2 linked regions of the Tamandua tetradactyla genome follow. The protein of the gene in region 1 purifies or fractionates together with the protein of each later gene. This does not show direct contact. Links are inferred from orthologs where the notes say so. Each region holds a gene or a part of one and is shown in the gene's direction. Other genes may lie near its edges. The genes, in order: OSBPL9 and VAPB.

Region 1 (15,391 bases):
GATTGAGAAGAGTTCTCAATTCCTAGATGCAGAGTCCTAGCTCATGCCAGGATTTCTGTCCCACGTTGCCAGGAAGGTTTACATCCCTGGGAGTCATGTCCCATGTAGAGGAGGGGAGAGTAGTGTCAGCTTAGAGAGAGAGGCCACATCTGAACAATAAAAGAGTTTCTCTGGGAGTAACTCTTAGGCCTAATTTTAAGTAGGCTTAACCTAGCCTTTGCAGGGATAAGTTTCATATGGGCAAACCCCAGGATCAAGGGCTTGACCTATTGATTTGGTTGTCTCCACTGCTTGCGAGGATGTCAGGAATTCTCCAAATGAGGAAGTTGAATCCCCAGTTCACAAAGACTTACCCTGTATTTTCTTCTAAAAGTTTTAGTTTTAGCTCTTAAATTGAAGCCATTTTGAGTTAAATTTTGTATATGGTGTGAGATAAGGGTCCAAATATATCCTTTTGCGTGTGGATATTCAATTGTCCCAAAACAATTAATTGAAGAAACTATTCTTTCCCTCATTGCATTGGCCCTTGTCGAAAATCAATTGATTGCAGATATTTGAATTTTTTTCTTTCGCATTCTCAAATCTGTTCTATTAACCTATATGTCGATCCTTATGTCAATATTACACTGTTTTCATTATTGTAGTTCTGAAGTAAGTTTTGAAATCGTGAGTGTGTGCCCCCAACTTTGTTCTTTCTCTTCAAGATTATTTGGGTATTTGAAGTATTTTATTCATTCGTTCCTCTGATTTTAAAATAAAATTAAAAGGGAAACATTTTTTGGCTCCCTATTGGCATGGTGGGCCCTAAGCACTGTGCCTAATGGATAAGTTGGCTCTGAGCCAATTACTAACCTCAACTAGTCCTCTTCCTGTTCTTTAAAATTCCAATTTTGAAGGGTTGTTATAAAGATTACATGTTCCCTGAGCCTGCCCATGCCAAAAAAAAAAAAGTCCCTAGAAAGAAAAAAAGATTACACGAAGTACTTGGAAGCTACATGAGGGTAGAAACTAAGTCTGATTTGTTCTCCACTGTGTACCCAGAGCACTTGGTACAGAGTAAAGTGCCCATTAAGATTAATGTGAAATTGCCCACACAGTGCCAAAATACAGTAGACACTTGATAAATATCAGATTTATTCCAACAGTCTTCCTTGACAACAGTTCAAAACATACTTAATAGATTTCAGGCCGTGAACCCGGAGCCCGTGAGAGAGCGGGTGAGCGGGGTGGAGCGCGAGGCGAGACAGGGCCTGAGCGACTAGGGGAGCAGCTGCTGCAGCGCAGGCAGCTGGTCCAGCGGGAGGAGCGCAACAGACCACGTGGCCTCTCCATGAAGGCAGTGACGGAGCTCAACCCACCTCTGTCCAGAGAATATCGCAATCTCTCTGTGGTCTATAGGAATGTGGTTGGTACTAGGCGAACTCGCTGGAGGGTGATCAGCAGCATTGAGCAGAAAACCATGGCTGAAGGAAATGAAAAGAAATCGGAGAAGGTTAAAGCCTTTCGGGAGAAGATTGGGAAGGAGCTGGAGACAGTTTGCAACGATGTCCTGGTTCATCAAGAACTGCAGTGATTTCCAAAATGAGAGTAATGTATTTTACCTGAAAATGAAAGGCGATAACCACTGCTGCTGGACAGAGGTAGCCTCTGGGGAGAAGAAAAACAGTGGGGTCTAAGCTTCTGAGGCCACTTACAAGGAAGACTGAAATCAGCAGAGAGCACATGCCACCAACATTCTTCTGGGTCCGGTCCTCAACTTCTCTGATCTACTATGAGATCCAGAATGCACGTGAGCAGGCCTACCTCTGAGCCAAACAAGCCTTCGATGATACCTTAGCTGAGCTGGACACACTAAATGAGGATTCCTACAAGGACTCCACGTTCATCATGCAGTTGCTGCAAGACAACCTCACCCTCTTAACTTGGGATTGGAGAGATGAAGAAGCAGAAGGCAGCTAACAATCCTATGGATCCCTGGCCCCGCCTTCACTCTTCCCCCTCCCCCATTATCTCCTTCCTTGTTACAATCACTAAATATCTAGTGTTAAGCCTGTCTGTATCAGCAGCACAGCTACTCGGATCTGCTCCCCTGTCCCTAGGGAAGCAGTTTCAGATAAATCTTTATAGGCATTGCTGGATCGATGGTTGCTTTGAGCCCACTGGAGCTCTTTTTTTGAATTATGCTGACAAGTGCATTCTGAACGAGGCATTTTATTGTGCCTACTATCCACTGAAATCCAAGCGAAAGTAGAGGGGAAGTTTAGAAAGGAGAATCAGCCACCATAGGCTTACAGTTGATATTTTTAAAAGCTGATAGTGTTTTGTTAAGCAGTAATCTTGTGCATGCAAAAATGAATTCACTCCTCCCACCTCTTTCTTCAGCAAATGGAAAACTGTTAAGGGACACTGATACAAAGAGACACCCTGCCCTTTTCCATCAGTTTTATAATAAATCGTTTAAGGGGAAGTTTCAGTAGTATGTTGTTTTGCCTCTTTAAATTATGGTGTGCACAAACCTTCTTTTCAATGCCATGCATTTAAAGTTTCGACGCTTGTAACTTTTTGGCGGGTGGGTGGGGATTGCGATTGCTTAAGAATCACGGATTTGTTTTTTGTAACTCTTTGACTATTATCCTTTTGTATCCTGATAGCATCATGTGCATCTACCCATGTCAATCAAGATGGGTGATTATGAAATGTCAGACTTCTAAATTAAATATTTTGGAATTCAATGGGTAAATAAATGCTGCTTAGGGGATATTAAAAAAAAAACAACATACTTAATAGATATCAGAAACAGATCCTGATGTAACAGGAAGTTAGATCAGGGAGGATCATGTGCACAGGGTCAATCGGTTCACATGTTTTTTAAATTTTTTATTTATTTAGTGCATTCATCCCTTGGTCCACTTAATTGTAGTCATAACAATCTATCATTAGCTATATAGAGGAGTGTTCAAAATCATCAGTTCTACACTCCAGATGGTGTACTTACGTATGCAGGGAGTTGTACCAGTATTGCTGTGTGTGTCCAAATCTTCCGCAGATTTAATTACAAAGCTACAAAGTGAATGCATAAATTATGTACAAAGGCCCATGTTTTGGAAATCACAGTGCAGCCTTGGGAATTAGATAGGAGGTTAGATCTTTGTAATTGATACACTCCCACTTAAGGGTTGAAATTCTTTGGATCTGTGACAGCCTCTTTCTGTCTACACGATTAGCTGGATATTTAAACTCCAAATACTAGATTTCAGAAAGAGAAGAACTTTGCAAATGGTTTCCCAATCTGGCGTCGGGCTCCCTCTCCAGCTATTTCCCACCACGGGTTCACTTGTTTTCCTTGCCCCAGCCATGGGAAAAATGTTCCATTTCCCAGATGCACAATACAGTTTCAAGCCATTGCACTTTTGCGCACACAGAAGGCCTATTCCTAGTAGCTACTCCATAAGTGACAGTTTCTCCTCCCTGAGTAAGAAAGTTCAAGTAGAATATTATCTCTTTTGGAAGCTCTTCTACTTCCTCTAAAAAGAAGGGAATAAAAGGAATGCATTTGATTTGGCATTTATTATGCAGAGCACTATGCATGGTCCTTTGCATTTATCATCTTATTTAATCCTCAGGTCAATTTTCCCAGAAATTTTTCTTATTCTCAGTTCTACATGAAGTACTTAACATCTAAAATGTTAAGTGTCTTAGCCTACGTCCCCCTGCTAGTCAAGGGAAGAGATGGAATTGGAATCCAGGTTTGCCTGACTGTCTGCCTCAGGCAAATTAGTTGTCTCATTCTTGGGGTTCTCAAACCTGTTTCATCATACCATTGCCCTAATACATACCTCACTGTATTGATCATGGTTCTCTAGGGAAACAGAACCAACAGGAGATTATCTGTAAATAGTATGAGATTTTTTTTTTTTTTTCACATGGGCAGGCACCGGGAATCGAACCGGGGTCCTTTGGCATTGCAGGCAAGCATTCTTGCCTGCTGAGCCACCATGGCCCAATAGTATGAGATTTTATAAAAGTGCGTCACACAACTGTGGGGATGCACAAGTCCAAATTCTATAGGGCAGACTACAAGCTGGCATTAAGATGAAGGTCTTCAATGAATTCCCCAGGAGAAGCTAGCTGGCTAAAGTAGAGACAAAAGTTCTCTCTTCTGACTACTGAAGCTATCACCTCCCCACTAAAAGACTTCAGCTAATTAGGTTAAATCTCTCTCGGAAGACACTCTGCTTAGCTGACTGCAGATATAATCAGACATAGATGCAATCAATGTATCAATGATTTAAGTCCAAGAAATGTCCTTGCAGCAACAGATCGACCAGTGCTTGCTTGATCAGATGAACTGGGCATCATTACCTGGCCAAGTTGACATATGAACCTAACCACCACACTCACGGTATGGTAATTCATTTATATAGCTTTATAATCTGCCTCCTGTACTAAACTTTTGAATCAGAGACCAAATCTCTGTAACATTAATGCCTAACCACCATGACTGGCATCCAGTCATTACAATACAAACAGAATGCAAGACTCTGAAAAATCAAAGAATAGAAGAAATTTATTGAGCTAAAGTAGCATTTATGCTGGAGCAGCAACAACAAAAAGGTTACTGCTCAAAAGGCCTGGGTTCTAGAAGGCAGCTTTCATGCTTGTTTGGGACAAAGGGAGGATGTGGGGTAGGGGTGGAGAGGGACAAGGAAGACATGATTTGTCTAGAGCAGGGTGTCATTAGGTCATAGTCTGTTCATTAGCAACCTATACAAGCAGGATTGTTTATGCAAGTTTTGTGGTTATCTGGTAAGGATTAGCAGACTTGCTGGGGTCAGTTTAACTCGCTTATCACAGTGAAGGCAGGGGTCTTTATCAGCACTGCAAACGATCTTTGGCATGTCAGCCTGCCTCAGTTGCTCTCTGTTTCTTCTTTGTAGTTTCCTGGGTAAAATGGGAGTTCAAGGAGATCAAGATAATTAGTATAGCTATTAACCATTCCAATTTCACACTCTTATAGTCAGTGTGTAGGCCATGTTGAAGCAGGTGTTTTAGTTTCTTAGTTGCTAAAACAAATATCATACTATGTGTTAGTTTGACACAGGCATTTATTGGCTCATGGTTTCAGAGGCTAGAAGGCTTGCTTCCTCCCAGGTCGGTATCTTCTGCCTGGCCTGCAATCTTTGGTGTTCTTTGGCTTTTCTGTCACATGGCAATGCACACAGTGATGTCTTCTCCTTTCTCGTCAGGGTTCTCTTGACTTCTGACTGCTTCCAACAGCTTCTCTCTGTTTGAATTTCACTCTATTTATAAAGGACTCCAGTAATCCCCATTAAAGCCCAATCTGATTCAGTTGAGTCACACCTTAGTTGAAGTAACATCTTGAAAAAAATGTGGATCAAGACCAAGAACATATCTAAATTGGCGTATACAGTTCAATCCACCACAGGGGGCAATAGTGAATTGGATTAGGAAGCTACTGCAGAGGTTTAAGTATGAAATGGTGAAGGCTTGAACCAACATAGTAGCAGTCGACATGGAAAGGAAAGAGTAGGTGGTTAAATTGGTAAAATTGACAGGGCTGGTTCATCTCCTGGATTGGGGTATTTGGTGAGGGAAAATAAAAGAGTGGGTCTTTTCTAGGTTTCTGGCATGAATAATGGATGGTGGTTCCATTCACTGAGATAGGGATCACAAGAAAAGGAGAGGATTTGGTGAGAACTTATCCTGTTTGGTACAGGTTGAATTTGAGATGAATTTGAGCGTCATCAAGTTGAGATGTTCAGGAGATAGCTGGACCCAGAGAGAATAAAATGATTAGAGAACTGTCCCATGTAGGCAGTATTTTAACTATAGAAGTGGATGAGATCTCCCTGGGACCATGGGCAGAATGAGAGTGTATCCCTGTGAGTCATTATGATAAGGAAATCATTACCCCACTCATGAAGGTGCCAGGCTAAAGGGCACATGTTTGGAGCCTGGCGGCATTTGGGAAACTTTCGAATCTCCCTTGGCTTCAGCTTCCTGAAGGACTAGCCTTGATCATCCTCACCATTTTTTGAGAGAGTAAGGTGAAGCAGTTTTTAAAGTTTTTTTTTTTTAAGTTTTATTAACACACCACAACCATCCAAAGTCTACAATCAGTGGCTCTCAGTAGAATCAGTCATACTTACATCACCACAATCAATGTTAGAACATTTTCATAGCTCCATAAACCAAAAACCCATGCCCCTTACACCCCCATTATTGATACTTAGCATCAGTGTGGTTCTTTTGTTACAATTAATGGAAGAACATTAAGATATTACTGTTACCTGTAATTCATGGTTGGCATTAGGTGCATTTCCCCCCATAAACAATCCTGTTATAAACACCTTGTAGCCGTGACATACATTTGTTCTAACTTATGGAACACTCTTTTATTTAGATACTATTAACCACCTTCATCATCCACAACAGTGTTCAGTGTTATAAGTTCCATTTCATCCTCTAGCTTTCCTTTGAGTGAAACAGACAAACCTAAACTTCCCCTTTCAATCACAATCACAACTGATAATGTGTTACCATCAGCCTTATCCGTTGCCAGACATTTACAATTAACCTTTAAAAAAAGTCCTGCACACTAAAATGAGCTGGGACTCAGCATCAAGGGATTGGGAAAACCTTCTAGACCAAAAGGGGGAAGAGAAAAATGAGACAAAATAAAGTGTCAGTGGCTAAGAGATTTCAAACAGAGTCGAGAGATTATCCTGGATGTTATTCTTACACATTTTATAGATTTCCCCTTCTTAGTTTAAGGTGTATTAGAGAGGCTAGAGGGAAGTGCCTGAAACTGCAGAGCTGTGTTCCAGTAGCCATGTTTCTTGAAGATGAATGTATGATGATATAGCTTTTGCAGTGTGACTATGTGATCATGAAAATCTTGTGTCTGATGCTCCTTTTATCTATGATATTGACAGATGAGTAAAAAATAAGGATTAAAAATGAATAAATAATACGGAGAACAAAGGTTAAAGTAAATTGAGAAGATGGAAATACTAGTGAACAATGAAAGGGAGTGGTAAGGGGTACAAAAAAAATAGGGGGAACAAAGGTTAAAATCTATTGAGCAGATGGAAATAATAGTGGTCAATGAGAGGGAGGGATAAGGGGTAAGGTATGTGTGAGTTTTTTCTTTTTTCTTTTTATTTCTTTTTCTGGAGTGATGCAAATGTTCTAAAAAATGATCATGGTGATGAATATACTACTATGTGATAATATTGTGAGCCATTGATTGTACACCATACACAGAATGTTTGTATGTTAAGAATGTTCATGTCTACATGTTGTTTTGGTTTGATAATACAAAACATATTAAATTTTTTTAAAAATCCTGCACTAATTAAGCATCATTTCCCCACTCTCTATCCTCATTCTATCTCCTGATAACAGCTATTTTAGATATTAACTCCTTAAGTTTGCTCATTATATTGAGTTCATATTAGTGAGATCATATCGTATTTGTCCTTTTGTGTTTGGCTTATTTCATTAAACACAGAAATGTTCTCCAGGTTCATACATGTTGTTGCATCATCCGAACTTCATTCCTTCTTACAGTGGAATAATATTCCACTTTTTTTTATACCATATTTTTTTTATCCATTCATCCGTTGATGGACATGGCTTGTTTCCATTTTTTGGCAACTGTGAATAATGGTGCTTTGAACACTGGTGTGCAAATGTGTTTGCATCCCTGCTTTCAGTTCTGGGTATATACTGAGTAACAGGACTACTGAGTAACAGGGTCATATGGCAGTTCTATACTTAGGGGAAGCACTATTCTTAGTAGCCAAAAAAAACAGACCTAGACTACAACTACTTGAAACACTCTAGGTGCAGTGGAGGGATTTCCCACAGCATCTATTTTGTGACTAGGCCAATTGAGAATCATGAATGTGTTCATCAAGAGCCTGAGCACTTGAGGCTGGTGGCTGTCGATCACTCTTCTTCTCCAGGTTGTGTCACATCTCATATCCAAAAATAGAAAGCAAATCCTATCATCATCCAGACTCCAAATAGGATCCAGGTCCCATCGCTCATTTCTATCATCAGGTAAACATTTATAAAGAGGCATACCAGCAGGAGGCAGGCACAGCGGGGATCTTGAAGAAAAGAGGGGTGGGGTCCTGGGGCTGCCTCCAGATGATGAAAGTAACAGCAGCAATAAGTACCAGTAGCAGAGCAGTCTCCAGTGTATAAAGTGGGTCTCCAGAAAACAAGTGCTTGGGCCACTGGTCCAGGATCAGGTACAGGGCGGTCAGCAGCAGGACAAAGAGAAAGACACAAATATTGATAGTTTTGCCAGATTTCAGCATAGGGAGGGTGTTGGTGGAGTTACACAGACATTTTTAGAATCTTGAAGGTTTGGGCTTCAGGTACAGATTCCAAGGACTTTGCCTCACATACAGACTTCATCTCAAGTATGTCCACCTGCACTTCTTCATTTTTGCTTAATTTCTGGTCTGGCTGGTATCTGAGAGCGAGATCGGAGAAAGCCACCAGGGAGTAAGAAAGCAGGGTCCCAAACGACATGAGGTCCATGAGATCAGCAAACTCCAAGAGCAATGCCATGAGCACAGCAAAGACTCTAGAGATCACAGTGGCTGTGATGGAGATCTGTGTGTGAGTGTGGGTCCAGGCTAGGCTGTAGAAAAGGAGCCCAGCTTCGGCCATTGCATAGGCCACACGAGGCATGGAGACCCTGGAGCCCAGGAGGCTGGACGTTAAGAGCACAGAGGAAACCAGCAGCCACTGTGCATATGGCAGGGGCCCATCCAATGTGAAGAAAAGCCTCTGGCAAGGGCTCTCAGGATAAATCTGGTGGTAGGGCATCATAAGGGTGAGAGTCGCTGAGACACAAAAATGCACCAAAGAGCAGATGATGAGTGAGATCACCATCCCCAAGGGGATGGGTGGCTGAGGATCAAGGGCTTCTTCCCCTGTAGTGGCAATGCTGTCAAAACCAACAAATGCAAAGAAACACGTAGCTGCTCCACGGAAAATTCCACTGAGTCTGAAAGGCATAAATCCTCCAGAGCCCAGAGTGCCCAAGCTTTGGGTGCCATCATATGCCATGTTGTAGTCCTCTTTTGTGAGCTGCCCGTTGTGCAGATCCCCCTTAATGACGCCGGAGATGATTACAAACCGAGAACCAAAAATATTCACGCTCATGAACACTTTCGTAACAAGCGCAGACTCTCTAGCTCTTTGAGTCAGCAGTCCAGTAAGCAGCAAAATTAGGCCCGGGAGGAAGAAGTCTGGATACTTGGTCAGGATGTGGGGCACATACAATGAGAAGCTGCCCTGCAGCACCTGAGAGATGCGGTTTCCAATCAGGTTGTCAAAAGTAGAGCTCCAGGCCCCTGCGACACCAGCAGAACCTATGGCGTAGAGTGAATGAGGTTCCAGCCAGTGATAAAGGCCCACACTTCGCCCAGTGTGACGTAGCTACAGATAGAGACCAAGCGAGAGCACGGAACGCGGGGCCCCAAACACTGCGTAGCCCAGCCCGGCCAACACGGAAGACAAGCCAGCGACCGGGAAGCGGAGGGTGGTTGAGGGTTCACCTTTGCCAGTGGCCACTTCACCAGCCAGGTCTTACATGCCTGCCCTAGAGTGCTGCCTACACCCACGACCTGCAAGTCAAAGATGCTAAGACAACTGACCAAGCGACTCCCAGACAGCTCTGCCAGCTCCCAGGGCCGCTTGCGGCCCGGCTTCCGGCTGATATGGCGAACTTCCGGCCACAGCATTCTTGGTGCCCCGGAGGAGGATGCTGAGATTCGGACTGCTGTCCCAAGCCCTGGCGCACTAGACAGATCGAAGTCAGTGAGGTTCAGTTCAAACCGAGTCGGGCTGGAGGTTATGGATCTTCCAGTTTTTAAGTATTTTGAAGCTGCTCAAGACAGGGTTCACAGACCAGCAGTAGTACACCAGCTGAAAGCTTGTCAGAAATTCAGAATTCAGGCCCCACACTAGACCTAGTGATTCAGAATCTTAAATTTAGCGAGATCCCCAGGTGGTTTGTATGTACTGAGGTATAGAAAGCCAGTGCATCTTGAAACAGTTTAAAAGCACTGGCCTACAACACCTCCCTCAAAATTTCTTTGGCTCAATGTGTGTTGAATTTCCAAACCTTTAATAGTAGGGTTAAACTTTGTTCTATGCTCTAGCAACTGAGGGTTCATGTTCCTTTTTATATGTGAGAAACAGGGAAAACCCATATTAAGCCCTCTTCCTGAGATTTACTGATTTATCAAAAATATTTCCTGCCATTAACAGGCTTACAGTGCTGGTAGCTCCTAAATAGATTGATTGCTATACTCCATGGTTTCTCAATCTCAGCATTATTGACATTTTGAACCAGATAATTATTTGTTGTAGGGGGCTGTCTTGTGCATTATAAGATGTTTAACAGCATCCCTGTTCTCTACCCACTAGACACCACTAGCATCCTCCCAGGTGTGACAATATAAAATGTCCCCTAGTGACAAAATTGCCAGTAGTTGAGAGTCACTGATGTAAAGTCATTCCCAGAGATCGATAGATATATGCTTTTTTTTTAGGTGCAGGACCTGGAATCGAACCTGGGTCTCCTGCATGGAAGGTGAGCATTCTACTACTGAACCACCCATGCACCCTGTATACATTTTTTTAAGACAACTTTTTAAAGAGTTTTATTCACACACCATACAGTCCATTCAAAGTGTGTAATCAATAGCTCTTAGTATAATCACAGACTTGTGCATTTATCACCACAGTCAATTTGATCCTGTATACATTTTTAAATAAAATAAGATTGTACCACTTACAGATCTAAAATCATTTTATACCTATTTAATCAACTATATATAATTTTATATCTAATTTTTCATTTATCATTATATTTCAAACATACTTTTTAATGACTGCACAACAGCGCATTGGAGCTATTATAATAATAGATTATTATAATTTAATTTTTTCCCTATTGTTGGACATTTAAGTTATTTCCAGGGTTTCACTATTGTAAGCAACATCCTTGCCCTTAAATCTCATTCCTTGCTTAATGCTAAATTCCAAGGAGTTCTTGATAATATTTTGCTGTGGCCAACTGGAGAATATCCATGTTGCTCATGTGAAGGCAGACCTTGGATAATTGATATCCACAAACAATTTGCAAAACCCAAATAACTTACTGTCATGGAGGGATTCGGACACTGTGAATCAGTAGATGCAATAATGTATCCCAGACTCTCTGTCTGAAGTTTGTTCAGAGTTTAGGTCAGACACAAAGGATTGAGGGGACAGTTAGACCTGAGGGAGGGAGAGTTTGAAATGGCTAAAGTCCAGAGTAGCTGGGATGTGGGTCTCCCAGGGAACATTACACTGAGAGGAGAAAAGATGAGTTCATTCCTCTTTTCTCTCCTTAAAATATTTTCTCTCCCTTCCCCAGCTCCTCTCTGCCTCAGTATCATAGCTGCCTTTTCCTAAATTTGACACTTCTCTTTTTTTTTGCTCTCTAGCTAAAGGAAAGGATGGGAAAGAATGAGAACTTGCTGTCTGTGGACAAAAATAGGCTTTCTTTTGCTTTTCCAAGATTTAAACTGGATCATCTGTTTCCTCTACATCCAGAAAAGGGCAGTCAAGTTTTTGTAGGTTGCTGTGTTTTCTCTGAAGCAAGGCAGCTTTTTGTAAATGTTGTTTTATTTGATGCCCAACAAATGCCAATTAAGAAACATGACAACAATAACAGCAACAACAAAAAGCAGTTAGTGGGGAATTTAGGAAGAGAAGGCAGGAAACCAACAACAACAGAATACAATACGAAGTAATTTGCACCAACACTCCCAGCTGTATAAAAGTTGGAAATCATTTCTGCTAGAAACTACAAAACCACTTTTCTAAACAGATGTGTAAAGAAGGAAACTTCATCTCGAGAAACACAAGCAGGTTTTGTTCATCCTTTTTTTTTTTTTAAAATTGGTTACTCAGAAAATAATCATTCTCTCAGTTGTACAAGTTAGAAACCTTGGTATTATCTCTGACTCCCCTTACTCCCTCCTCTTCTAATTCCGTTATTTAGTGAGTTTTAACTTTTATCTACAAAAAGTTTCTCAATAAATATGCAGTGTAGTATCTTTCTTGTTCTTCATTCTTACTGCCATTGTCCAAGTTTACACTCTTTCTATTGCTTGCTTGGCTGGTTAAAAGGCTCTTTGTTTTCTTGCTTCCTGTCTTTCCCCTTTCCAATTTGTTTTTAATTTTCTGCCAGTATAATCTTTTTTTAAAATCACGTCTTTAGTTTAACATTTATTGATATACCAAATGCTTGGATGAAGTAGACCCAGTTCCTGCAGTTGATAAACTTATGTTTAATGGTTAACATTATGTCTCCCTTCTGACTCTGAGTCTAATCCTCTTTCCATGCTGCCCTTCAGCTGTCACTTCATTCTGCATGAGGCCAGGCACTGAGGAATGTGGGAATTTGAGCCTCTGTGTCTCTGCCACATTTAATTTTATCTGATGATCTAAAACATGTAGTTTGAGACTTTGTGGCGAATGTAGACAAAGAGCTACACAAGTGGACTTGATCTCATGAGTGAAGAACTGTCTTTCCTCTCAGTTCTCCCTGACTACCTGTGTTTAGACATTTGAAGCTGTAAGTAGAACCTGCTGATGATTATTGGTGAGCCCTGATGAAAGTTAAGACTGAGTTAGAAGTTGATGCTGCTGCCTGTGTCCTATCCAGGACATTTGTTTACACATATGCAATGCAAATATAGCTTGCAGCTGAGGTGGAATGAATCTGGGGTGTTGAGTCCTACATTGTAATTCTGGTTATGCTGTTTATTAGCTATGTGAACTTGTGCAAACCACTCTACAACTCTGTGTCCCAGTAGCCTTGTCTGTAAAATGGATGTAATAATACAGACCTTGAAGGATTGTTATGAGAATTAAAGGAGAAAATACAGGTAATGGTGCCTAACACAGTTCTTGGCAGTTAGGAGTTCAATTTTGGTGAAACCAATAATTCAGGTGAAGCAGTAGTTATTAAGTACCTTCTGTGTGCCAGGCACTGGGCTGGTTCTAGATAAAAAGATTAATGAAACCCAGTTCCTGCTCTTAAGGAGCTAATGGAGGACTAATAATCAACGCGTTGTAAATCTTTAACTCTATCTGAATCATATATCAAATCCTTTCAACTTTCCTTATCCTAAAACACATTAGCAACATGAGGCTGTGCCCTCAATGTTTCTCCAACATCAGGTTTCTAGGAGGAGTGTATACTGTATTTGGGGGGAACTACGCAGAGTAAATAAAAAGATAGACGTGTTTATGTGGATTCAGGTACTCAGATAACTTGCCTACTTAGTATTGTTAGGTCCCTGGGCAAGTCGGTTAATTACTGTGAACCTTAGTTTTCTTATTAGTAAAATGTGGAGACTAATGCACTCATTGTGTAATAACCCAATGGTTATTGAATTGTGATGCTTCGATGTGATGAAATGTGTAACAGGTCTGGCACAGGATAAGTAAAAAATGGTGGAACTAATAAGAAAAAATAAATCTAAAAGGAAAGAATGGCTTTGACTCATGCCTCTGATTAGCTGTAAGGGAACTGAGTTTCTTAATTTTTGATTTTATGGAAGATGCCAAAGGTATGCCTTCTTCTTAGCAAACTTTGTTGAATTGTGATAGAGACTACTACAAAGACAAGAAAGAAAAAGAGAAACTGGAAACTAACTTATATTGGCTGCTATCTCTTCCAGACATATTCTAATTTACTCATATTGGCGAGGAATGATTGCATTAATTATTTCTGAAGATGAAACTAAGTCCTACGAAGGGCTTATTCAGGCTCTGCAGCCAGAATGGTAAAGCCAGGATCTCTCATTTCTCTAACTCTAGGGGTCTAGAAAGAATTTCTTTCTATTCCATTTGCTGCCTCATATGGAGAGGAATTGAGAAGACATATAAAAGAGGATAAAGAAAATATTACTCAGGTTTGTTGATATTGGTGGAAGGCCTTAAAGGAGACAAAGTGTAGTTTGCAATGAACAGAATGAAGAATTCATATTGTGAGTTGGCAAGACTTCTGAGTGCAGGGGACAGCGTATGTGGTGTGTTTTCAGTAACTATGAGAATGGCCTTTTCCTAACACATACCACTGCTGTTTCAATTCTCTGAACAGATTTCTCCCTTCTTTGGTTCCCAATCACATTTTCTTTGTACTCCTCTGATGGCTTTCATTTTCCTCTGACTTTTACTAGTTTGTGTGTGTGACCTTTCCTTCTCACCAGATCTGAAGCTTCTTGAGGCCAGGGACTGCATCCACATAGCAATAAATCAGCACCTTTCATGCCATATGATCATTTTTTCTTTCACATTATATATGTGGTTAGATCAAGTTATCTATGGATTCTATCTCAGGAGGGTAAAGGAATCGTACATTTTTTTAAAAAGGAATGTTTGTTTAAAAAATTCTTCATTTTAGTAACATGTACAATTAAAATTTCCCCCGTTAGCCACTTTCAGATATATAATTCGGTGGTGTTAATTACAATTAAAATGTTGTGCTACCATCGTCATATCCATTATCACAACTTTTCCATGATCCCCAACAGAAATTCTATACCATTAAAGCTTTAACTCCCCATTCCGTAGCCATCCCCCACCCCTGGTAACCTGTATTTTAGTTTCTGAATGTAGGAATTTGCTTGTATAATTATTTCAGATCAGTGAGATTATACAATATTTGTCCTTTTATGTCTGGCATATTTCACTCAAAATGATGTCTTCAAGGTCAATCCATGTTGTCATATCATGCCATACAATTTTTTTTTGCATGGGCAGGCACCGGGAAACAAACCCGGGTCTCTGGCATGGCAGGTGAGAACTCTGCCTGCTGAGCCACTGTGGCCCGCCCCATGCCATACAATTTTAATACAGTGAATAGCCAAACTGAATAAATAAGAAGCTCTTTGAGGAGAGGGAGAACACGTTTTAAAACAAATATTTATGGAGTACCAGCCATATTTCAGGTATGCTCTGGTTGCTGGAGATACAGTTGTAAACAAGGCAAAAATCTCTATTCTCATGGAGATTATGTTTGCGGTGGGGGAGAAAATAATAACTATCTACCCCTCCCAGCATCTTCCACGGTATTTTGGGAGTACTAATTGAATGTTTATTTATGTAGGCATCTTGAGAGTGAATTCATCAGAAAGAGCATTGGGTTAGAGGCAGAAATGTAAAGCACTTATCACATTGTTTATATGTTGTTCTAATTAGACTCTCTTATGTTTAAGTGAGGGATCTTACTTTAGCTCAGGGCCTGGCACATAGGAGGGGCTGAATGATACCTTTGTTATTT
Region 2 (15,459 bases), on another chromosome or scaffold:
TTGACGAAAACACATCTTGTATACCTTACCTATTTAAGTTACCAAAAAGATCTTAGAACTGACATACTGCAAAACACAATTGAAATAAAGTTTGTCACAAAAATAGCTCAATTTGGTTAAAGACAAATTTACTTTTTCGTCATCTTAAACATATAATAGATTTATTGCTATCTTATTTGACTAGTAAACCTGTATAAATGTAAGAACAACGTACTCAAGTAGGATTAAATTGTATGCCTGTATTATAGTTAACGTCGATAACCCGAAAGACATAGCTGTTTTTCATTTAACTAATGATATCAAATTAGTCCAATAGTCAAAGGTTTACCAAATTATGTGAACTGGAATTTTTTAAACATTTGGGTTCAGTTCTGCAGATGCTCCTTTTTCACCAAAAATATTGAATGTTTGAGTTCCCTAATTTCTGGAACGTTGGGAGTATTATTTTATATATAAACACGTATTTATCTTTAATCCAATTTGAATAGAATTCTTTTAAGGAATTTTGTAAGTTAATTTAGTAGTACGGTCTGGAGGTAGGACACACAGACGCTAGAGAGCTTATAATTTCAATTTTAAGTTTTCAGCTGTGAGTCAGACTAAAAACACAGGAATGCAGAAAACATAGAAATACAATTTCAGTAGTTTCTATAACGGGCTGAATTTATATCCTTGTTCCACTGTTATATTTTTATCAGAATTTTGGGCAGATGGGACAAGTTGTGGTTACTTGCTTAAAATGTAGGCTAAAGCGTTCCTATCAGTATTCATGGAGAAGACTTAAAAAGATTTCTTTTTGCCCTGTTATATGATCTTATAGAAGCTTTGCCCTATATGTTGGGCCTTTTTGACCTCAGATTTATTGTGGAAAGAGGGAATTTGTAGGTCCTTTTCTGGGTCATCCAGTCAGCTTTTACCATCCAGGATTTAGCATCTGAGCTTCTGACCAATAAGGGTTCAAGTTCATCATATAGGTCAGGGTTAGGGTAACCCTGGATCATAGGCACCCAGAAGAATTCTTAATTCTTATGCTAGTATTTGCTGGTCTCAATTGGGAAAATCTTTACTTGTAGTTCTTAATTGAGTTCAGGTCCAAGGTTTAAATTCTGTACTAACAGACATGCCAGGTTCTGCAGAAGGCTTAATCTTTTTTTTTTTTTTTCACATGGACAGGCACCAGGAATTGAACCCGGGTCTCTGGTATGGCAGACAAAAATTCTGCCACTGAGCCACCGTTGCCTGCCCAGAAGGCTTACTCTTTAAAAGAGCGTGTACTAGATCATTTTCCCTCAGGGGGTCAGGAGTAACCAGATAAAGCAGCTGTGGGGAGGGCTGGGTAAAGGGAAAGTGGGGGAGCAGTAGGCTTGGTTTGGAATTCCGCTTTTATCTGTTTGTGGCCTTTAGTTAAAGGTTAAATGAGAATGAGGGTTAGTAGATTGAGTAATTAGACAAAAGAGGCTAAACAGAAAGGGGCTGAAAGAACAGTAGGAGTCAAGTCAGTTTGCTTGTAGTCCTTGTCAGTTGTCTTAGCTTCTCATTTCTTAAAATTTTTTAACTTGCTATTATAAGGAGTCTTTTATTGAGGTTATTTTGAAAATCAATACTGATTGATTGATGCCTTTGAATACCAGTCAAAATATGCATCCCATTATTTTTGAGAATGTGGGATCCTTTATTTTCTAAATGTCCTCTGAGAATAACTACTTTATCTAAACTTAAACTACTCTGTTGTGGCCACTGCAATCCTGAATTATCCTCACTAAAGTCTGCTTTTGTAAAAATAGACTAGTTTGAGGTCCATAGCTTTTAAACGTGTACCCTGCTGGCATCTCAGTCGGGGAGCCCCAGATTTTGAAAAAAGAATCCATGTAATTTACTCAAGTCTTTGTGGACTGACCCCCAGACTTGTTTTATCCAGACTCTAACCAGTTTTATTGGACTCTAACTGGACCCTTAGTCTGACCACCAAACTTTAGTACTGCTCATAGTTGGATCTCATATCTGGGAGGAACTTTCCCATTGACTTCTGGGTGCCATGAGAGAGCAGAGAGCACAAAAGTCTCAGCAGGTGTCTTTTTGTCTGTTCTTGCTGCCATCAGCATGTCCTTCAGATCCCACTTTTTTTATTTTTTTATTTTTTATTTTTTATTAACGGAAAGAAAAAAAAAGAAATTAACACAACATTTAGAAATCATACCATTCTACATATGCACTCAGTAATTCTTAACATCATCACATAGATGCATGATCGTCGTTTCTTAGTACATTTGCATCGGTTTAGAGGAACTAGCAACACAACAGAAAAAGATATAAAATGTTAATATAGAGAAAAGAAATAAAAGTAGTAATAATAGTAAAAAAAAAAACAAAAAAACCCCTACAGATGCAGCTTCATTCAGTGTTTTAACATGATTACTTTACAATTAGGTATTATTGTGGTGTCCATTTTTGAGTTTTTGTATCTAGTCCTGTTGCACAGTCTGTATCCCTTCAGCTTCAATTACCCAGTATCTTACCCTGTTTCTAACTCCTGCTGGACTCTGTTACCAATGACATATTTCAAGTTTATTCTCGTTCACATCAGTGGGACCATACAGTATTTGTCCTTTAGTTTTTGGCTGGACTCACTCAGCATAATATTCTCTAGGTCTATCCATGTTATTACATGCTTCATAAGTTTATCTTGTCTTAAAGCTGCATAATATTCCATCGTATGTATATACCACAGTTTGTTTAGCCATTCTTCTGTTGATGGACATTTTGGCTGTTTCCATCTCTTTGCAATTGTAAATAACGCTGCTATAAACATTGGTGTGCAAATGTCCGTTTGTGTCTTTGCCCTTAAGTCCTTTGAGTAGATACCTAGCAAAGGTATCTACTCAAAGATACCTTTGCTGGGTCGTATGGCAATTCTATATTCAGCTTTTTGAGGAACCGCCAAACTGCCTTCCACAGTGGTTGCACCATTTGACATTCCCACCAACAGTGGATAAGTGTGCCTCTTTCTCCGCATCCTCTCCAGCACTTGTCATTTTCTGTTTTGTTGATAATGGCCATTCTGGTGGGTGTGAGGTGATAATCTCATTGTGGTTTTGATTTGCATTTCTCTAATGGCCAGGGACATTGAGCATCTCTTCATGTGCCTCTTGGCCATCCGTATTTCCTCTTCTGGTAGGTGTCTGTTTAAGTCTTTTTCCCATTTTGTAATTGGGTTGGCTGTCTTTTTGTTGTTGAGTTGAACAATCTCTTTATAAATTCTGGATACTAGACCTTTATCTGATATGTCATTTCCAAATATTATCTCCCATTGTGTAGGCTGTCTTTCTGCTTTCTTGATGAAGTTCTTTGATGCACAAAAGTGTTTAATTTTGAGGAGCTCCCATTTATTTATTTCTTTCTTCAGTGCTCTTGCTTTAGGTTTAAGGTCCATAAAACTGCCTCCAGTTGTAAGATTCATAAGATATCTCCCTACATTTTCCTCTAACTGTTTTATGGTCTTAGACCTAATATTTAGATCTTTGATCCATTTTGAGTTAACTTTTGTATAGGGTGTGAGATACGGGTCTTCTTTCATTCTTTTACAAATGGATATCCAGTTCTCTAGGCACCATTTATTGAAGAGACTGTTCTGTCCCAGGTGAGTTGGCTTGACTGCCTTATCAAAGATCAAATGTCCATAGATGAGAGGGTCTATATCTGAGCACTCTATTCGATTCCATTGGTCGATATATCTATCTTTATGCCAATACCATGCTGTTTTGACCACTGTGGCTTCATAATATGCCTTAAAGTCCGGCATCGCGAGACCTCCAGCTTCGTTTTTTTTCCTCAATGTTTTTGGCAATTCGGGGCAACCTGCCCTTCCAGATAAATTTGCTAATTGGTTTTAATAATTCTGAAAAATAAGTTGTTGGGATTTTGATTGGTATTACGTTGAATCTGTAGATCAGTTTAGGTAGGATTGACATCTTAATTATATTTAATCTTCCAATCCATGAACATGGTATGCCCTTCCATCTATTTAGGTCTTCTGTGATTTCTTTTAGCAGTTTTTTTGTAGTTTTCTTTATATAGGTTTTTTATCTCTTTGGTTAAATTTATTCCTAGGTATTTTATTCTTTTAGTTGCGATTGTAAATGGGATTCGTTTCTTGATTTCCCCCTCAGCTTGTTCATTACTAGTGTATAGAAAAGCTACAGATTGTTGAATGTTGATCTTGTAGCCTGCTACTTTGCTGTACTCATTTATTAGCTCTAGTAATTTTGTTGTGGATTTTTCCTGGTTTTCTACGTATAGTATCATATCGTCTGCAAATAGTGATAGTTTTACTTCTTCCTTTCCAATTTTGATGCCTTGTATTTCTTTTTCTTGTCTAATTGCTTTGGCTAGAACTTCCAACACAATGTTGAATAATAGTGGTGATAGTGGACATCCTTGTCTTGTTCCTGATCTTAGGGGGAAAGTTTTCAATTTTTCCCCATTGAGGATGATATTAGCTGTGGGTTTTTCATATATTCCCTCTATCATTTTAAGGAAGTTCCCTTGTATTCCTATATTTTGAAGTGTTTTCAACAGGAAAGGATGTTGAATCTTGTCAAATGCCTTCTCTGCATCAATTGAGATGATCATGTGATTTTTCTGCTTTGATTTGTTGATGTGGTGTATTACATTAATTGATTTTCTTATGTTGAACCATCCTTGCATACCTGGGATGAATCCTACTTGGTAATGATGTATAATTCTTTTAATGTGTTGTTGGATACGATTTGCTAGAATTTTATTGAGGATTTTTGCATCTATATTCATTAGAGAGATTGGTCTGTAGTTTTCTTTTTTTGTAATATCTTTTCCTGGTTTTGGTACGAGGGTGATGTTGGCTTCATAGAATGAATTAGGTAGTTTTCCCTCCACTTCGATTATTTTGAAGAGTTTGAGGAGAGTTGGTACTAATTCTTTCTGGAATGTTTGATAGAATTCACATGTGAAGCCGTCTGGTCCTGGACTTTTCTTTTTAGGGAGCTTTTGAATGACTAATTCAATCTCTTTACTTGTGATTGGTTTGTTGAGGTCATCTATTTCTTCTTGAGTCAAAGTTGGTTGTTCATGTCTTTCCAGGAACCCGTCCATTTCATCTAAATTGTTGTATTTATTAGCGTAAAGTTGTTCATAGTATCCTGTTATTACCTCCTTTATTTCTGTGAGGTGAATAGTTATGTCTCCTCTTCCATTTCTGATCTTATTTATTTGCTTCCCCTCTCTTCTTCTTTTTGTCAATCTTGCTAAGGGCCCATCAGTCTTATTGATTTTCTCATAGAACCAACTTCTGGTCTTATTGATTTTCTCTATTGTTTTCATGTTCTCAATTTCATTTATTTCTGTTCTAATCTTTGTTATTTCATTCCTTTTGCTTGCTTTGGGATTAGTTTGCTGTTCTTTCTCCAGTTCTTCCAAGTGGACAGGTAATTCCTGCATTTTTGCCTTTTCTTCTTTTCTGATAAAGGCATTTAGGGCAATAAATTTCCCTATTAGCACTGCCTTTGCTGCGTCCCATAAGTTTTGATATGTTGTGTTTTCATTTTCATTCGCCTCTAGGTATTTACTAATTTCTCTTGCAATTTCTTCTTTGACCCACTCGTTGTTTAAGAGTGTGTTGTTGAGCCTCCATGTATTTGTGAATTTTCTGGCACTCCGCCTATTATTGATTTCCAACTTCATTCCTTTATGATCCGAGAAAGTGTTGTGTATGATTTCAATCTTTTTAAATTTGTTAAGACTTGCTTTGTGACCCAGCACATGGTCTATCTTTGAGAATGATCCATGAGCACTTGAAAAAAAGGTGTATCCTGCTGTTGTGGGATGTAATGTCCTATAAATGTCTGTTAAGTCTAGCTCATTTATAGTAATATTCAGATTCTCTATTTCTTTATTGATCCTCTGTCTAGATGTTCTGTCCATTGATGAGAGTGGTGAATTGAAGTCTCCAACTATTATGGTATATGTGTCTATTTCCCTTTTCAGTGTTTGCAGTGTATTCCTCACGTATTTTGGGGCATTCTGGTTCGGTGCGTAAATATTTATGATTGTTATGTCTTCTTGTTTAATTGTTCCTTTTATTAGTATAAGTGTCCTTCTTTGTCTCTTTTAACTGTTTTACATTTGAAGTCTAATTTGTTGGATATTAGTATAGCTACTCCTGCTCTTTTCTGGTTGTTATTTGCATGAAATATCTTTTCCCAACCTTTCACTTTCAGCCTATATTTATCTTTGGGTCTAAGATGTGTTTCCTGTAGACAGCATATAGAAGGATCCTGTTTTTTTAATCCATTCTGCCAGTCTATGTCTTTTGATTGGGGAATTCAGTCCATTAACATTTAGAGTTATTACTGTTTGGATAATATTTTCCTCTACCATTTTGCCTTTTGTATTATATATATCATATCTGACTTTCCTTCTTTCTACACTCTTCTCCATGTCTCTCTCTTCTGTCTTTTTGTATCTGACTCTAGTGCTCCCTTTAGTATTTCTTGCAGAGCTGGTCTCTTGGTCACAAATTCTCTCAGTGACTTTTTGTCTGAGAATGTTTTAATTTCTCCCTCAGTTTTGAAGGACAATTTTGCTGGATATAGGAGTCTTGGTTGGCAGTTTTTCTCTTTTAGTAACTTAAATATATCATCCCACTGTCTTCTAGCTTCCATGGTTTCTGCTGAGAAATCTACACATAGTCTTATTGGGTTTCCCTTGTATGTGATGGATTGCTTCTCTCTCGCTGCTTTCAAGATCCTCTCTTTCTCTTTGACCTCTGACATTCTAACTAGTAAGTGTCTTGGGGAACGCCTATTTGGGTCTAATCTCTTTGGGGTGTGCTGCACTTCTTGGATCTGTAATTTTAGGTCTTTCATAAGAGTTGGAAAATTTTCAGTGATAATTTCTTCCATTAGTTTTTCTCCTCCTTTTCCCTTCTCTTCTCCTTCTGGGACACCCACAACACGTATATTTGTGCGATTCACATTGTCCTTGAGTTTCCTGATACCCTGTTCAAATTTTTCCATTCTTTTCCGGATAATTTCTGTTTCTTTTTGGAATTCAGATGTTCCATCCTCCAAATCACTAATTCTATCTTCTGTCTCTTTAAATCTATCATTGTAGGTATCCATTGTTTTTTCCATGTTTTCTACTTTATCCTTCACTTCCATAAGCTCTGTGATTTGTTTTTTCAGTTTTTCTGTTTCTTCTTTTTGATCAGCCCATGTCTTCTTCATGTCCTCCCTCAATTTATCGATTTCGTTTTTGAAGAGGTTTTCCATTTCTGTTCGTATATTCAGCATCAGTTGTTTCAGCTCCTGTATCATTTGAACTATTGGTTTGTTCCTTTGACTGGGCCATATTTTCAATTTTCTGAGCGTGATCCGTTATCTTCTGCTGGCGTCTGGACATTTAGTCAGATTTCCCTGGGTGTTGGACCCCACAGGTTGAAAGATTTTTCTGTGAAATCTCTGGGTTCTGTTTTTCTTATCCTGCCCAGTAGGTGGCGCTCGTGGCACACGTTTGTCTACGGGTTCCACCAGCGAAAGTTGCTGTGGGTCCTTTAACTCTGAAAGACTCTCGCCGTAGGGGAGGTTCAGCAGCCGAAGCGTCTTGGAAGAGTGCCAGCCGGCCCGGGGGTCCGAACGCAGGGAGGGTCGCCGGCCGCTGCAGCACGGGAGAGCGCCCGACCGAATTTCCTAGTCGGCCCGGGGTGCCAAGCGTGGTGGGAGGGTGCCAGCTGTTGCAGCCCGGGAGAGTGCACTGTTCCCAGCCTGACCGGGGAGTCACGTGTTTTGAAGGGACCCCCCGGTCACTGTTCTCCGCAGTCTGGGGATTTCCGACCCAACTCTCTCAGTTGGTCCGGGGGGCCTTGCATGGTGCGGGCGCCAGCCGCCGTGGCCCAAGGGGACCGCCTGCCCAATTCTGCCAGCTGGCCTGGGAAGGAGGAAGGGAGGGACTCCAGCCGTTTGCCGTCCCGCCCGGGAAAGCCCGCGCCCCTCGGTGATCTCACTGGAGCTGGTTCTCCCAGACAGTCAGCCGTTCCAGGATGGGGTACGCCGTCCCTTTGATCTCCGTCGTGGCTCCGGGAGCTGCTCTGTATTGTCTCCACTCCCCCAGTAACTGTTCTGTTAGGTTGGGGGAACCGGGAAGGGCACTGCAACTGGAGCTGCGGAGGCTGTGTCGCCCCTCCCAACATGGCTCCTGGAACCCCAGATCCCACTTTTGACACCAAAACTGTTAAAAATATTAGATAAAATATTAATTATGGGAGTTTATTTGAGGTGTTTATCATTCATGAATTGGGCAGCATCAAAACCATATGTGTAAAGGAGCTCTACTGAGTGGTGAGAAGGGGGAACTTATATAGAACAAACACAAAAGTAAATGAAGAAATGTTCTGTTTGGCTGACATTAAGTTTCTATTTTAAATGGAAGATATACATTGACTCTGAAAGAAGTGACACAAACAGATATTAGCACACTGGATGTTCATAGCAGCACTATTTGCAATTGCTAAAAGATGGAAGCAGTCCCAGTGTCCATCAACAGACTAATGGATAAATAAAATGTGGAAATACATTTAATAGAGTTCTATGCAGCAATAAGATGAAATGAGGTCCCGAAGCATATGGCAACGTGGATGAACTTTGAGAACATTATCCTCAGTGAAATAAGCTAGACAAGAAAGGATAGAAACTATATAATCTTGATATTATGACTCTGGTAAAGATGACAATGTCAAGGCTCAGGCGAACTTTATGAGTTGCTTTGAATAATAGGCTAAGAAGTGGTCAGCTCCAACATGGAAAGTCAGTGCAGCTTCTCTGATATTTTACTCTAGTATGACCTGGGTGAAGAATTTGGGGACAGATGGGAAATGTGATGCTTAGCTGCCAACATTACTTTCTTCCTTCCCCCCTCCTCCTCTCCCTCCTTTCTCTCTTCTCCTTTCCTCTGTTTTTCTCTCTTTTAGTGTCTCTCTTTCTCATTCTCTTTTTCTTCGCTTTTTCCTTCCCTAAAAATAAAAATAATAAAAAGATATTATTAAAAAAAAAAAGATATGCATTGGCTAGTGTGGTATGCTTGTCCATTCTGATAAGCTATTTTACTAGACTGAAACTGGTCTATTACCAGGTATTGCTTATCTGCAGTTCTACAGATATATTCCATTGTTCCATTTTCTTAGATGCCCCTGGTGGGTCCATTGTTTTTGTTTCCAGAAAATCCTTTCTCAAAAAGGGGTTCCTCCCACCAATGCTGGTGACCATTTTATTTCACTTAATTTGCAGGTCTGCCACTGAGTCTTTGGAAAGTAGGGTGAAACTTCTGTGTGCTAGAGATTTCACAGATTTGCATTTTTGTAAAGTGGGAATTAAGGGTCCTTATTAAGTTAGGAACGTCTAAAAAAATTATCCTTTTTTTAAATAGAAATCTTAAACTTTATCGATTTCAATAAAAGAATAAAGAGAAAGCAGTAACTCAGACCATTTTGCAGCTGCATTCTACCAAAGTTTTAAAGTCTGTGTGCTTCTAATGCTGTTTAATATGGTCTAAAAGGTATAAGGGGAAGATTGCCAAATGCATTTTTTTCCTCCTTCTTAAAGGAATTGTCTGTTTTTCTTTTTTCTTTAACAGTTTTATTCACACATCAAACAATCCATCCTAAGTGTACAATCAATGACTGTAGGTATAATCACATAGTTAATGCATTCACTACCACAGTTAGTATGAAAATATTCTTCTTTCTTCTAGGAAAAAATATCCCATACCCCTTACACACCCCTATTATTTCATACTAAATTTATTTTAACATTTGTTCCCCCGTTATTTATTTTTATTCCATATGTTCTACTCGTCTGTTGACAAGGTAGATAAAAGGAGCATCAGATACAAGGTTCACACCCCTATTATCGATGTTTAGCTTTAGTATAGTGCCTTTGTTACAGTTAATGAAAGCATATTACAGTGTTACTGTTAACTATAATCTTCAGTTTGCATTAATTTATTTTTTTCCATATACCACACTGTTATTAACATCTTGTATTAGTGAGGTACATTTGTTCTGGTTCATGTAAAAACTTTCTTAAATTTGTGCAATTAACCACAATCATTGTGTGCTGTAGATTTCACTATGTTATAAATTCTAAACTTTATCCTTCAGCTTTCCTTCTGGTGACATACATGACCCTAGTCTTCCCTTTTCAACCATACTCATGCTCAGCCTTGTTAATTACACTCACAGTAGTGTTCTGCCATCACATGGTATTGTGCTATCCATTTCCAAATATGTATAATTCACCTTTAAAATAAATTACCTTTTAGGTGCCACTTAAACTTTACAAGTGGGGCTATATAGTCTTTAGTCCTACATGCTCCTGTTAGGCCACTATTTGGGCAAAGAAGCAAGAAGGAGTGAGCTAATATATATAATAGAGACTTTCCTAGAGTATAGAAAGAGGTAAACTTAAGGTGAATAACAAAAAGTGCTCTTTTATTTTATATGACACGTACTTTGGGAACTCATCATTCCTCAAAATGATCACAGCCCAAGCATTTGGACAGGATTAGATTGAATCTAGAGACATCATGAATATAATTATCACATACATGATAGATTATTATCCACAATTGGGGATATTTTGGATTTCTTCCTTTTCCACAGCTCATCCCTTGAGATTTTCTCTCTGGACAGTGTGCTGGTTTGGAAGGATTTATGTACCTTAGAAAAGCCATGTTTTAATCCCAGTCAGTCTTGTGGGAGCAACGGTTTCTTCTAATCCCTAGATGTATATCACATTCCAACAGCTAGCAAACTAGAACAGACAGTTTCCTAGCTGGTAGGATATAATACAACTCTGATTCAAATTGGTTCCATAACCCCACATTGGAATCTTCCTATAGGTCAGGCACTGGGTAAGATTGGGGCTAGGGAGGAAGTCCTGGCCCTTAAGGTTTCCACCCTCTCGGTGGTGAGGGAAAGGGAGAATTTGAGGAAGGAACACACATGGCAGTTCCTCATTGGGAGTTTAGAAAAAACTGTATTAATTCTACTTGGGGGTTGTATTTCACAGGGAAGGTGACATTTGAGATATGTGACTTGGCATGCTTACTGTGTATTAGATATTTTCCTGAGTGTTCATTTATTTAATTCTTACAACAAATGAGTAGGTAGAGCCTAGAGCCTAAGGTATTGTTATGATACTTGGGTTCATGACTCAGGTTGGAACTAGGATTTGAACCAAGATCTGTTTGACTGCAAAGGCCATGTTCTTTATCAGTTTGCTTGCTATGTTTCAGTTTCAATTTACTTGCTATATTTCAACTTTTCAAGGTTTAGTGGACAAGGAAGGCCTTTGGTTTTCTTATTATGTTGTTAGGAAGATGAAAGGAGGACTGGAAACAGAATCATGGGAATACAGAAAGTGTATTAAAAAGAAAAAGATTAAAAAAAAAACCAACGTGCTTTATTGTAATCTAGTAATTGTCTCATGCGGCACACTTCTGTCAAGTGCGGAGTTGCCCTGGGGCATTAGAGCAACTGGCTGACTGGTAAAAGAAGTCTTTCTACCAGTTCTGTCCTTTCCTTTAAGAACTTATATTCTATTTTGATCACTTCTCATTGTGAGTTTGTTTTGAAAATTATATGCTAATGTTATCCCTGTATGTTCTCTTTTACCACCCCAGTCCCTGCTTTCTGAGTCCTTTATTTCCTTGATGTCTGTCATCACAAACAATATGTTTCTGAGTTAATTGGGTACCATTTCAGCCTTTTAGTTATATCATTTAACATTTATAGTATAGTAGGAAAAGAAAAGGAAAGGAGTGATACCTACCTGAGAAGTTGGTATTATCATCATCTCCCTTTTAGGGATGAGAGAGCCAAGGCCCAGGACTTGGCAGAATCTGAATTTGCACCTCAAGATCTTTGAGCCTGCAAAGCTTGTACACTTTGCATTACAAAGAGAGGCTTGGATGCCCCAGGCTGGAGAAGCACTCAGCTTCCTGAGCTTTTCCTCCTCTCAAGGTGAGTAGGCTTGAACTCTATACCTCTTAACTCCTTTCAGCTCTAGCCTTGTGAACATGAGACTAAAACCTTTTTTAGCTGAAAAAGAAAGATGGAAAGCCCCACTGAGGGTGGATTCCAGGGTTTGTATTTTCCACAGCATTTACCAGTGCTTTGACCTAGTGGTTTCCCAAATATTTAATTAATGAATCCTCTTGTTCTGTTTAAAACCTCACTACTTCTACTCAACTTTCTTGGGTATTATTGAAGGTATTTTGACATTACCTCAAATTGTACATCACTTGCATGTTTTGTTTCATCTTTCAGTTATTCTTTGGGTACCTCGTTTAACTCATTGCTTTGTCTTCCCTGTTAGAATGTAAGCAGCAAAGGTTTTTGTTTCTTGAGTATTTCTTAGTAGTGGCTGGTGCAAAGTATTCTTTTCTTACTATTGTTTTATTCTGGTATTCCAGAGAATGTAAACAGCCCTAGACTTGATCATCTTTCATGTTTAGTATGATCATTTGAAATAGATGCACACACAAGAATAAAAAAGAGGAAACCAAAGGTTTGTCCTTGTGGAGACTTATTTGAATTCTCATTCTGTTGGTTGAATTGATTTGTTGGCATATGAATGTATCCTGATGGACTGACTGCCTAGAAAATCTAAATTGGTCTGTTTTGACCTTTTTAAAGTCAGGCACTGCTTTACTAATTGGATGAAAGAAAGCCATAGATCACTCCTTAGAGAATCTATAGACGTGCACAGTCAAAAATTCTCATGAAATTTGGGAGCAGGGGAATCCCATTTTATCATGGTTGCCTAGTTAACCTCTAATCTAGCTAAGGGATTGGCAGAGGTGGAAGAAACATGAAAGGTCTTTTGGAGAGTTCCAGAGAAAACTTGGTCATTTCATTTATTATTATTATTTTTTAATGAATTCTTTGTTGTCATTCCCTTTTAATGTAAATAGTTTCTTTTTCTTTCTTTATATACCTCGCATTGAACACCATGCTTGATAATTAGTCATCTTCACTAAACATCTTAAGTGCTGTCTCTTCAACCTTTAAAAAAGAAAAATTGCTCTGTTTTCTCCAGCCTTCCCTTTTTGTCTTGATAGCTTCTGGAAAGAGTAGTCTTAATCTCAAATTTCTCACCATCCATTCACTCCTAAAATCATTGCTCAGGAGCTTAAATATTGCTTCATCACTACATCTGTTGTTACATGTTTTTCACCATAGTGTGCTTTCTGTAGCATTTGCCACCCATCACCATTCCTGCTTCTTGACACACTTCCCTTGACCTCCTTAATCATTCTTTTCGGGTTTTCCTCCACACACATTTGGCCATTTTTGCTCACTCCTCATGGAGTCCTCTTGGACTCAGGGTTACAGGTTCTTCTTCTCTCCCTCTTTCTTCTCCCCTTCACTCTTCACTTCCCTTCTTTTCGTTCTTTCTTCCCTCCTGTACTCCTTACCCCTCTTCTTCTTGGGAGGTTTTCTACCAGTAACTTAGCTCTTCTTCAAGGAGAAGTAAGGCAACAGGCTTCCACCACTGACTTACTCAGTTTTGTATACCCATCTGCCTTCCTGTTTGTTACAGGGCTCCTTGTTTTTGTTTGTTTCTTTTTGTGAAATATAGCATACACACACACGCACAAACACACACGTAATAATTTTCAAAGTATATTTTAACAAGCAGTTACAGAGCAGATTTCAAAATTTGGTGTGCGTTACCATTCCATAATTTCAGATTTTTCCTTCTAGCTGCTCCAAAACACTGAAGACTAAAAGAAATATCAGTATGGTGATTCAGCAATCATACTCATTTGTTAAATCCTGTCATTCTCTGTTATAGTTCCTCGTTCTCCTTTGGACCTTCTCCCAAATCTGTAGGAGTCTTTGGGCTATGCCCATTTTAACTTTTTCATGTTGAAAAGGGGATTCATCAATTTAGGATAGGGGAATGGAATTAAGTGATGCTCTTGAAGAGGCTTGTCCTTCTGGGTTTTAGGACTTATCTGGCCTAGTAACCATCTGGAGGTTATGGGTTTCTGGAAAGTAAATTTAGAGCATGAAATTTTTATATAGTCTCAATTATCACTCTGGGTGTTCTTTAGGGTTAACGTGAATGATGTTGGTTTGGCAAACCGTGACAATTAGCTATGTCTAGCTGAAGCTTGCAAAGGGTAGTCTCCAGAATAGCCTCTCAACTCTGGACTCTGTCAGCCACTCGTACCTTATTTTGTTACATTTGTTTTCTACCCTTGGCTATATATTTTTTGGATGCATGGCCCAGGAATTGAACCCAGGTCTCCCATATGAAAGGCGAGTATTCTAACCACTGAACTACCCGTGCACCCTTCTACCCTTGGCTTTTAACATCACTTAGACATATATAATCCCATGCCTGACCCAAGCCTGTATGTGGAGCCACAGATACCTCAAATGCAGCATGCATCAAACTGAACTCGTCATTACTCCCTTTTCCTTTCTTCCCCAAACTTCTTTCTGCATATGTCTCATTGAATGATATGCACATTCACACAGTTGCCCTGCTCAGAGACCCAGAGTCTGTGACTCAAGTCTGCCGTACTTCCCTGTCCTTTCTATTGCTGCTTATTTCCCTCCTGGATGACAGTAAGAGCCTCCTCACTGGTCTTTCTGTTTGAGTCCTCTTCTCTCCTCACTGACGCCCAAAGGAACTTATGAAGAGGCAAATCTGAGCATAACTCGTTTGCTTAAAATCATGAATTGTCTCTCTGTTACCAAAAGAATAATGTTTAAATCCTTCCACAAGTTCTAGAAAATCATTTATACTTGTCTCCCTTGATTTCTTTTTTTTTTTTTTTTTTTTTTTTAAGGAAAGACAGAGAGAAGGAAGGAAGGATAGAAGGAAGGAAGGAAGGAAGAAAGGGAAACATTTTTAAACATTTTCTTGTTTTATTGTATTCTGTTTCTCCGTTTTTTGTTACATGGGCTGGGGCCGGGAATCGAACCGAGGTCCTCCGGCATAGCAGGCAAGCACTTTGCCCGCTGAGCCACCGCGGCCCGCCCTCCCTTGATTTCTTGACCCTTATCTTTTCTCATGCTTCCCCTCCTGCCTTTAGTTCCCTGTGGCCAAAGCACTTTTGAATATGCTATTTCCACCAGTGCAAATTAGGTCGTCCTCCTCTTTTGCTGCCCCTCCTGCTTACCTTCAAGGCTCAGCAGAGGCTTGACTTCCTTGCAGGTTACTTCCCTGACACTCTCCACCACTGTGGCCTGTTCCCTTGGGTTCACACACTCAGAACGTTATAGTGGATTTGGTCACTTGACTACCTTCCTCATTAGTCACCTAGCCTTTTGGCTTTTTGAACTGTGCCTTTTATTCCCAGATACCAGGGCCTCCACAGTGCACGGTGTATGACAGACTCATAGTTTCTGAGTCT

The links.
Region 2: the proteins of OSBPL9 (region 1) and VAPB purify together in Homo sapiens (affinity purification with mass spectrometry; 7 studies listed by BioGRID and IntAct, counting the BioPlex papers as one, with this or other methods). This does not show direct contact. The link is inferred for Tamandua tetradactyla from reciprocal best matches to the Homo sapiens genes OSBPL9 and VAPB.

The regions. Positions count from the first base shown.
Region 1 is NC_135328.1:170,567,294-170,582,684, reverse strand, and holds the start of OSBPL9 (oxysterol-binding protein-related protein 9), read left to right. Parts: upstream 1-9,502; 5' UTR 9,503-9,684; coding exon 9,685-9,860; intron 9,861-10,601; coding exon 10,602-10,642; intron 10,643-12,546; exon of another isoform or gene 12,547-12,693; coding exon of another isoform or gene 12,694-12,703; intron 12,704-15,391. UniProt on the Homo sapiens protein: Interacts with OSBPL11 to function as lipid transfer proteins.
Region 2 is NC_135327.1:27,000,402-27,015,860, reverse strand, and holds the start of VAPB (vesicle-associated membrane protein-associated protein B/C), read left to right. Parts: upstream 1-9,094; 5' UTR 9,095-11,895; coding exon 11,896-12,049; intron 12,050-15,459. UniProt on the Homo sapiens protein: Endoplasmic reticulum (ER)-anchored protein that mediates the formation of contact sites between the ER and endosomes via interaction with FFAT motif-containing proteins such as STARD3 or WDR44.